Rattus norvegicus: one gene and its partner. The protein of the gene in region 2 interacts with the protein of the main gene of each other region in a biochemical or structural test. Links are inferred from orthologs where the notes say so. Each region holds a gene or a part of one and is shown on either strand. Other genes may lie near its edges. The genes, in order: Emd and Lmna.

Region 1 (4,527 bases), on a different chromosome or scaffold from region 2:
TCCTCCCCACCAGATCCCCATACCCTAAGAGTCAGAGGCAATAAGGCTAGGAGGCTCCAGAGGAAGGTACATACGGGCCTACTGGGCTGTGGAAAGCCAGCATTTGCTGCTTCCTTGGCAAGATGAGGTGGAGACAAGCACTGCCGTAGGCTAGGCCCTGTACCCTCTAACTAGAATACACAAAAAAGCCCCTACCCCCCACCCCCAGCAAACACTGCTAAGGCAGTCAGCCAAAACTCCTGTTAAGAGCTGCTCTGAAACCAATACCCTTAGGGATCCATCCAGAAGGGGTTGCCTTCTTCAGCTTGTATGGAATAGTAAACAAAGAGCAGAAAGGCAGCAAAGGCCAGGAAGAGTAACAGCTGGCCCCAGAGTGGGACCTGTCGATCCTGGCCCAGAGCAGCAGTAGGGGCCTGCTTTTCTGGTCGAATGGCACGTCGGGTAAGCCATGAAGAGGGAGAAGATGAAGAGGAGGACACAGAAGAGGTGGAGGATGTAGGATAATATGATAAGCCCAGGGAGCTCCTGGAGACATTGGAAATGGGGCGGTAGTGTGCGATGCTCTGGTAGGCACTGTCTCGGCCATAGATGGGGCGTTCCCTGTAGCAAAAGAAGGGGACAGGTAGGCAGGAGAGTCTGAGTGTCAAACTTGTCCCTGTCCCTACATGTGTTCACTACTCACCTATCCTTGCCTTCCTCTTCTGAAGAAGAGAAAATGTCATCACGCACCTGCCGGATAATTAGGATTAGAAATGGGAAAGAATGGTTTCCCCAAATGTCTCTGGCTAGCCTACTCTAGTCACATTGTAGGGGGCAGAAAATTGCCCCCCCATCATTCTGGGTCCATGCCCTCTTTAACTGTGGGGCCTTGCCACCCAGTTACAAACCTTGTCAACTTTGTCCCACCATCCTTTTATTCCCCAGGATTCTCAGGAGGCTTAAACCTACATCCTAGAGTACAGGTGCTGTTATATATGCTCAGATCATAAAAGTTTGTGGGCTGCAGAGATGCCTCAGTGGTTAAAAGCACCTATTGTTCTTCCTAGGTACCTAAGGTCATTTTCCAGCACTCACATCAGGCAGTTTACAACTACTTGCCATTCTAGCTCTAAGGGGAATCTAAGGGGAAATCTGACAATTCTGGCATCTGTAGGCACCAGCACTCATGCATACTACCCACAGACACATACATGTAGTGAGAATTCTTGAAATTTGGCTTAAGAAACACAGAAATATTATAAGAATGTTTTTATTTTAACCCTAGATGTGGGATATGGGGCTGTTTTACAGCAGCTATGATTTGCTTCATGCTTTTGAGTTGCAGATAGTTTCTGCAATTTTGTGGTATTTGGAATTCTGGGAATTTTTCAGAGGGTATGTAAATACTAGAGCCCCAATAGGTGAGGTTGGTTACAGTTTGCTAGTAGCTGGGGTCAAAGAAGACACAAGGAAGAAAGAAATTAGATTCAGGGATCTTTAGCTCTCTTTCTCTATCTAATGATTGGGGGTGAAAGGGTGAGGGGAACCCACAAACTAACAAAAAATTGGCTACACATAGGTATAATTAAAGTAATTAAATTTTTAAAAATGCCAAAACCCCAAAAACATTTGTGTGTGCTGCTGGATGCTGGAGATGAAACCATAGGTAAATGCTCTTCTACTGAGCTATATATGCTCATCCCCAAATCTAATAGTTTTGGAGGTTCCAACGTAGAACTTTTGAGCCAACAACTGTATGCTGATCCTAACCATACTTGAAGGCCTAAGATCCACTCTCTGCACCTAGTATCTCCTTGAACTATCCAAACCTAGAATTCCCTAAGGCTACATACACCCCAGGTATGCCTACCAGACAACTCACCTGGTGATGGAAGGTATCATCAGCATCTACAAGTGAGGTCCCTGGCCGGCGGAAGCTCTTGGACATGCCCACAGACTCGGGCTCCCCGTATGTCCTGGTAGTCAAATAGCTCTCCTCATAGTAGTCATCATTATAGTCTTGAGGAAGAAAACAGTGGTAGAGGAAAAAGTGGTGCCCCTTACCTGGCCTCTTGCCACCTTCCGCCCCCCCCCCCCAGTCTGTGTGTGTGCTGTGCCAGTTTCTTCTCTCTGAAGCCACTGAGAACTGGTACAAGGGGGTGAGGTCTGGAGTTTCACTGTGCCCAAATCCCTGAAGCATGGGATAAAGACATCAGTGCCCATCCCACACCTGCCTTACCCTTGCTCTGGTAAAGTAAGGCGTCCTCCTTTTTGGGCAGATCATACATGTCTGAGTCCACGGAGGCTGAATCCAAGTCTGCATGTGGAGGAGAAGGTACAGGACCTTCAATCTCCAGACTTCCCCCTACTCCCTCAGTAGCTTCAGCCACACCCTCCCTCCCTGCGCCTTGTGCCCCAAGCTGCTCTTTGGGGCTGTGCAGTTGGAGCCTCACCTGAGAACCGATAGGAGAATGAAGACGATGACGAGCTGGGGGGCGAAAGCCTCCTTCTCTGGGTCTCGTACTCGAAGATTTTCTTTTCGTAGAGCTTGCGAGTGGAGCCTGCCCAGACACAGGGTGCGAAGCGGTCAGCGGGTGCGAGCCGAGCACCCCAAGAGCACAAGGGAACACGGGGAGGGGACCTGAGGGAAGGAGGAGGTAGGAAGAACGCTCAGGGAGGAGCGCGGGAAAGCGGGGGACCGAGAGGTTCTGAGCGCCACCGGCTGCAGCATACCCACAATAGGCCCATGCGGGATGTTGTACTGGCGTAGCACTGCGGCCAGCTCAGTATCGGACAAAACCGCATAGTCGTCCATGGCAGACACGGCCGGCACCTGGAAGCGGTGTTGAACGCCAGGGGCGGCCGGCACCTATACACAGGGCCCAAGAAACAGACAGCTCGGAGCCTAGCAGAGGAAGCGCCAGCGCCTCAAGAGCGGCTGTGGGCGCGTCAAGCCGCCGTCACGTTTGCGTCACAGCCGCTGCTACGCAGGTTGCGCGCTCTCCTCAGGGCAGGCCCAAATCCGCCGGAGCGGCCAGTACAGACCAGTCTAGCAGGCTGGACTGGCAAATACAAACGTCACACTTGTGTGAGATTGACTCGAACAGGAAGAGGGAGGGGCTTGCGGGAGAGATTTTGGGGCAGCGGAGACTTCCTTTGAGAGCTAGGCAGCTGAGGGGCGGGGCTAGCTAGGCTATCTGAGGGTGCTAAAGCTCAACGTACTAGAGGGGCGACAAGTGTTCTCAGCGGACCAAAACTGGCTTGTGATTTCCCAAGCTGTGAAATCTTACACACCTTTGTGGCTTCATCCTGATTTCCAGTGCCTAGGATTCTCAGCCACAGTCTGGTCCACAGCAATGTGAAGAGTCCAATCCTGAGAGCAAACCTTTCCACAGCGCCTGACGCTGTTGCGAGCTCTTTGTGTGCACAAGTGCTGTCATACAGGACTCTCATCACCTACATAACCACCCACAGACCCCTGGCACTCGCTACCCATCTCCGCTGGTCTTCACAGGCTCCATGGCCCTGGCCTGCACACCTGTACAGGCCCATTCCCACCGTCCTCTCTGCCGCCTAGTTCCATCCGGGAGGAAATGGGGCTAGCACTGGGACAAGAGGCCGCCAACACTGTAGGACCAAGCAGCTTTCCAAAGGTCCAGGGCATGCCAATGGGCACAATCAGAAGGTGCCTGCTATGTGATGCATGTAGATGGGTACACCTTGTACCTGCCTAACTCACTGTTCCATCCACCTTGGGCCCTGAGGAGTTTTGAGGGGAGAAGTCTTCTTTGGCAGAGTCTCTAAGCTTGGTGTGACCTTAGAGGCCTAGACAGTGTGCAAAGCCTAGAGCAGTATCTCTCAACCTTCTTAATGCTGCCGACCCTTTAATACAGTTCCTCATATTGTGATGACCCCACCACCACCATAAAATTATTGTGTTGTACTTCATAAGTGTAATTTTGCTATTATAAATTATAAATATCTAATATGAAGGATATCTAATATGTGAGACCCAAAGGAATAGTATCCCAGAGGTTCCAAACTGCTGGCCTAAAGGTAAACCATGGGAATTGACGGAGGCTCACTAAGGATCTGGATCAGAGAAAGGTTGCCTTGAAGAGTGAGCATGACCATTATATTCTACGAAAAGTCATGTGGCTCTAGGTGTAAGCTGCCCTTTACTGGAGACATCTAGAAGAGGGGGTACATGCAGAAAAGGTGTGTGGGATGCCTGATCTCTTAAATCAGTGATTCTCAACCTTCCTAATGCTGTGACCCTTGTTGTGACCACAACGGTTACTCATGTTGTAGTGACTCCCAATCATAAAATTATTTTTGTTGCCACTTTATAATGATAATTTTTGCTATTCTTATGAGTCATAATGTAAATATTTTTGGAGATAGAGGTTTATTAGAGGGGTTACAACCCATGGGTTTTCTAAATGATAGTGATAGTGAATACTCTGGTCAGCTCTAGGCTGGCCTTGATGACACTTTAGTGAAGGTCACTGGCCAGTCCTCTATAGAAGTTTAAAGTAGGCAATGGTG
Region 2 (4,472 bases):
GAGATCCATGCCTACCGAAAGCTGCTGGAGGGCGAGGAGGAGAGGTGAACTAGGAGGGGTCTAGAGACACTGTCGGGGCCTATGGCCTGCAACTCCCACGACTAACGCCGCGTCTTGTCTCCACCTTCCCAGGCTACGCCTGTCCCCCAGCCCTACCTCGCAGCGCAGCCGTGGCCGCGCCTCCTCCCACTCCTCCCAGTCTCAGGGTGGAGGCAGCGTCACCAAAAAGCGCAAGCTGGAGTCTTCTGAGAGCCGGAGCAGCTTCTCGCAGCATGCTCGCACTAGCGGCCGTGTGGCCGTAGAGGAAGTAGATGAAGAGGGCAAGTTCGTGCGGCTGCGCAACAAGTCCAACGAGGTGGGCCTGAGATCAGGGTCTGGTTTTCAATGGCTGGGAGCCCCTGGTTCTGGTGGAGCGTCTGTCGCCCTATCTGAGAATTTGGAGTGTGTGGTAGTCTTTACATCTCTAAGTTGGGAAGATGGAGGAATATAGGTGTGTGTGGCACAGTACGACATTTGAGTGAGTAGAGTAGGTTGGGATGCCAGAGGTAGGGGCGGCAGGCCAGCAGGCCAGTCTTCTCTGTGCTTTGTTTTGTTTTGTTGTTTTGTTGTTTTTTGCTCTTTTGCTTTGCTTTGCTTTTTTTTTTTTTTTTTTTTTTTTTTGGTTTTTGTTTGTTTGTTTTGCAATGGGGTCTTGCCCAGGGTGGCTTTGATCTCCTGGGATTAAGCTGTTCCCCCACCTCAGCCTCCATAGTCGCTGGAACTGCTGGTGTACACTGGCGCCTAGCCTGCACATAAGTGAGATTAGCCCAGAGCCAGGTTGAGCTTCCTGTCCTCTTCCCTCCACCCTACTTGCAGGACCAGTCCATGGGCAACTGGCAGATCAGGCGTCAGAATGGTGATGATCCTTTGATGACTTATCGCTTCCCACCGAAGTTCACCCTAAAGGCCGGGCAGGTGGTGACGGTGAGTGGAAGGGCCTGCGTGGGACTCTGGGGTGGAGAAGTTGGACTCAGGACAAGAGCATTAAGAATAAGCACATCTCTTAAACCATCTGTCCCCAGATCTGGGCTTCAGGAGCTGGGGCCACCCATAGCCCCCCTACTGACTTGGTGTGGAAGGCACAGAACACTTGGGGCTGTGGGAGCAGCCTTCGCACGGCTCTCATCAACGCCACTGGAGAAGTGAGTATGTCGCAGCTGGTAGCTTGCTGGACAAGGCTGCCCCTGGTGGCCATAATGGGACTAGCTACCTCCCTGAGCCCAGTTCCCACCCAGCCGTAAGCAAGCCAAAAGTCTCCCCAGTAGAATGATGGGTGGAAGTCAGCCAGTGAGTGTTAACAGCAGACTCCAGTTTAAAGAACGCTCGCTGAGTTGTCAGCTGTGTCCTGTGTGCGTGTATATTTGTGTGCGTGTGTGTGTGTATGTGTGTGTGTGTGTGTGTGCGTGCATTCCTTAGCCCCAGCATCAGAGGTTGGAGCAAGGTTATATAAGGGCCCAGGATGGTTCTAGCTGTACAGCCCTCACCTCCTGACTCTTGGGTCTGGGCTTATGTCCCCATAGGAAGTGGCCATGCGCAAGCTGGTGCGCTCACTGACCATGGTTGAGGACAATGACGATGAGGAAGAGGATGGAGATGAGCTGCTCCATCACCATCGTGTGAGTGGCAGCCGCCGCTGAGGCCCAGCCCACAAGGGTAGCCCTGGCAGCCTAGGGCAGCTCTCCCGCCTCCATGCCAAAGTCTTTTCATTAAAGTGTTTTGGAATGCCACTTGCTGCCCTCGCCTTTCTTCTCTCTCCTCCCTCTACCTTGAACAGGGAGCCCAGGTGTCTGGTAAGGAAGGGAGTGGGGACTTTCTGATGCCACAGACTCTTCCATGGTGGCAGTGGACAGGATCTGGATTTGTCTCCTGGGAAGGGATGGGAGGACAGAGATGGCCCCAGCCCTGCCTCTCTTCCCCACCCACTCCCTTTGCATGCACGCTTTTCTGCTCCTCTCTGTCCTATTGCATGCTTCTCCTCAGATTCCCCTGCAGCAATGTTTTCTCTCATTTCTGTCCCTCCACAAATTAAGTTTCTCCATCTTCAGCCTCCCTCCTGATTGATTGCCCCTTAAGTGTCTAGGATTCAGGAGAGAGTTAAAACCACAGCTCTTCATTTTGAAGGCTTCCTGGCCATTTCCCCATCATGCCCTTCCTCCCAGCCACAGGCCTCCTATGTCCCTACCACTCCGGCTATGTGGGTGCAGACAGAGGTCACCTTCCTGCCCCATGGCCAGGAATCTACAGGAGCCCAGAGCCTAGGTGCTGGTCCTAAGAAGTCAGTCCCAAACTCGCTGTCCCTCCTGAGCCTTGTCTCCCTTCCCAGGGCTCCCACTGCAGCAGCTCGGGGGACCCCGCTGAGTACAACCTGCGCTCACGCACCGTGCTGTGCGGGACATGTGGGCAGCCTGCTGACAAGGCTGCCAGTGGCTCAGGAGCCCAGGTGGGCGGATCCATCTCCTCTGGCTCTTCTGCCTCCAGTGTCACAGTCACTCGAAGCTTCCGCAGTGTGGGGGGCAGTGGGGGTGGCAGCTTCGGGGACAACCTAGTCACCCGCTCCTACCTCCTGGGCAACTCCAGTCCCCGGACCCAGGTGAGTCATCTCTTCGCTTCTGCCCTACAGCAGGACACTGCTCACCGAGCAGCAGGGCAGCCCACGGGAGTGGGGTCCCCCTCCTTGCAGCCCCCCTTGCATCCTGCCCCTCCTGTCTGAACCCCAGACTCGAGGTCAGGGCGAGGCCCAGAGTGTGAGGGTTTGGGAGACACACCCCCTTTGGGGTCAGGGAGGGAGAGGAAGGGCCAGGCACTGCTGCTCACACCTCTGCCTTCTCTTCTCTCTTAGAGCTCCCAGAACTGCAGCATCATGTAATCTGGGACCTGCCAGGCAGGGGTGGGGGCAGAGGCCACCTGCTCCCTCTTCACCACATGCCACCTCCTGCCCTGTTCCTTATGAGAGCAGGTCTGAAGCCAAAGAAAACTATCCCCTGCCTTTGGGTGTTTTTCTTTTTTCCTTCTATTTTTTTTCTAAGAGAAGTTATTTTCTACAGTGGTTTTATACTGAAGGAAAAACACAAGCAAAAAAAAAAGTGTCTTTATCTCAATCCTTAGTCCTTCCCTTTTCCCTGTATCTGCCTTAAACCAAAGGGCTTCTCATAGGAGCCCAGGGAAAGGACTGCTTTTGTAGTCTAGATTTTTGTCCTGCTGCCTTGGCTTTGCCCTCATCCCAGGACCCTGTGACACGGTGCCTGAGAGGCAGGCATGGAGTTCTCTTTACCGGCCTCCTCCACAGCTGGCCCACTGCCATGCCAGCTGCAAAGAAAAGGGGTGCAGAGAGAATGACTGAAAGGTCAAGCCCCTCCTGGCTCACTACACTTGGCCGAGACTCCTCTGCCTGCCTTACCCTCCTGCCTTCCCGAGCCTGGGACGAGTGGATTCCCAGAGGCAAATCTGCCATGCTTGCTTTTTTCTATATTGTATTCAGACAAGAGATGGGAAAGATGGGGAAGGAGAAGGGACGGTCAGTTTGAACCTACCTTTCCCCCGTGCGTACAGCCTGCTGGTGGGCTCTGTCCTGTCGGTGGAGGGCAGTATTAAGTGGGATTGGGGAGAGAGTGAGGGAAAGGCTCCTGGAGATTGGGAGAACCTGCTGGGGCCAGTGAGAAGACTAGAGGGTGTGGTGATTGGTGGCTACAGCAAACACTAAGGAACCCTTCATCCCACTTCCCATCTGCACCTCTGCTCTCCCCCCAAATCAATACACTAGTTGTTTCCATCCCGGATGCTGTGGTGTCTCTTTGTTGGGTGTCACGTGTATTTTCAGGGGCAGACACATGCACACACAGGTGCCACACATTCACTACATATTCGGTGCTACACAGCTATGAAGGGTATGTATTGAGTACTGGGGAGGGGTCTTCTATAAAGTTCAACCATGTGGGGTGAAAGGGGCATGGCCTTCCTAACCCTCATCCACCCAGCACTGATCCAGCACCTTCTGAATGGGGCCAGCAAGCCACGTGTTCATCAGACACAGGAACACAGACAGATGGACAGCAGAGTAGGGGTGGGGACTAGCAGAGCTCCCTATGCCAAGGCTGCCTCGGGAGTCCCAGCTCTGGTTGCTGCGATTGCTTCGGTAGGCTGAGATACTCTCAGGGAAGAAAGGAAAGGCGGGGGTGTGGTGAGTTTGAGGCTAGTCTGGTAGTCACAAGATCCTGTTTCAAAAACAAAATACGTCTTTCCTGGGCAGAATAGCTGAGTGTTCTGTCAAAAGTGACTGAAAGCTGAAGAGATGACTCGGAAGTTAGGAGCATGTACTGTCTTACACAGGACCTGGGTTTGGTTCCTAGCCCTTCTATCAAGTAGCTCCCGACTGCCTGTAACTCCAGCTCTAGGACATCCAACCTGTCGCCAGAACTCCAAGTATATTTACTTGT

Evidence for each region.
Region 1: the proteins of Lmna (region 2) and Emd form a complex in vitro, tested with the Homo sapiens proteins (4 studies listed by BioGRID and IntAct, with this or other methods). The link is inferred for Rattus norvegicus from reciprocal best matches to the Homo sapiens genes LMNA and EMD.

The regions. Positions count from the first base shown.
Region 1 is NC_086039.1:157,188,812-157,193,338, reverse strand, and holds the start of Emd (emerin), read right to left. Parts: upstream 2,902-4,527; 5' UTR 2,795-2,901; coding exon 2,713-2,794; intron 2,621-2,712; exon of another isoform or gene 2,541-2,620; coding exon 2,433-2,540; intron 2,297-2,432; coding exon 2,219-2,296; intron 1,999-2,218; coding exon 1,862-1,998; intron 730-1,861; coding exon 683-729; intron 601-682; coding exon 270-600; 3' UTR 1-269. UniProt on the Homo sapiens protein: Stabilizes and promotes the formation of a nuclear actin cortical network. Stimulates actin polymerization in vitro by binding and stabilizing the pointed end of growing filaments. Inhibits beta-catenin activity by preventing its accumulation in the nucleus.
Region 2 is NC_086020.1:176,236,908-176,241,379, reverse strand, and holds the end of Lmna (prelamin-A/C), read left to right. Parts: coding exon 1-44; intron 45-132; coding exon 133-355; intron 356-855; coding exon 856-963; intron 964-1,061; coding exon 1,062-1,181; intron 1,182-1,559; coding exon 1,560-1,655; intron 1,656-2,362; coding exon 2,363-2,629; intron 2,630-2,878; coding exon 2,879-2,905; 3' UTR 2,906-3,816; downstream 3,817-4,472.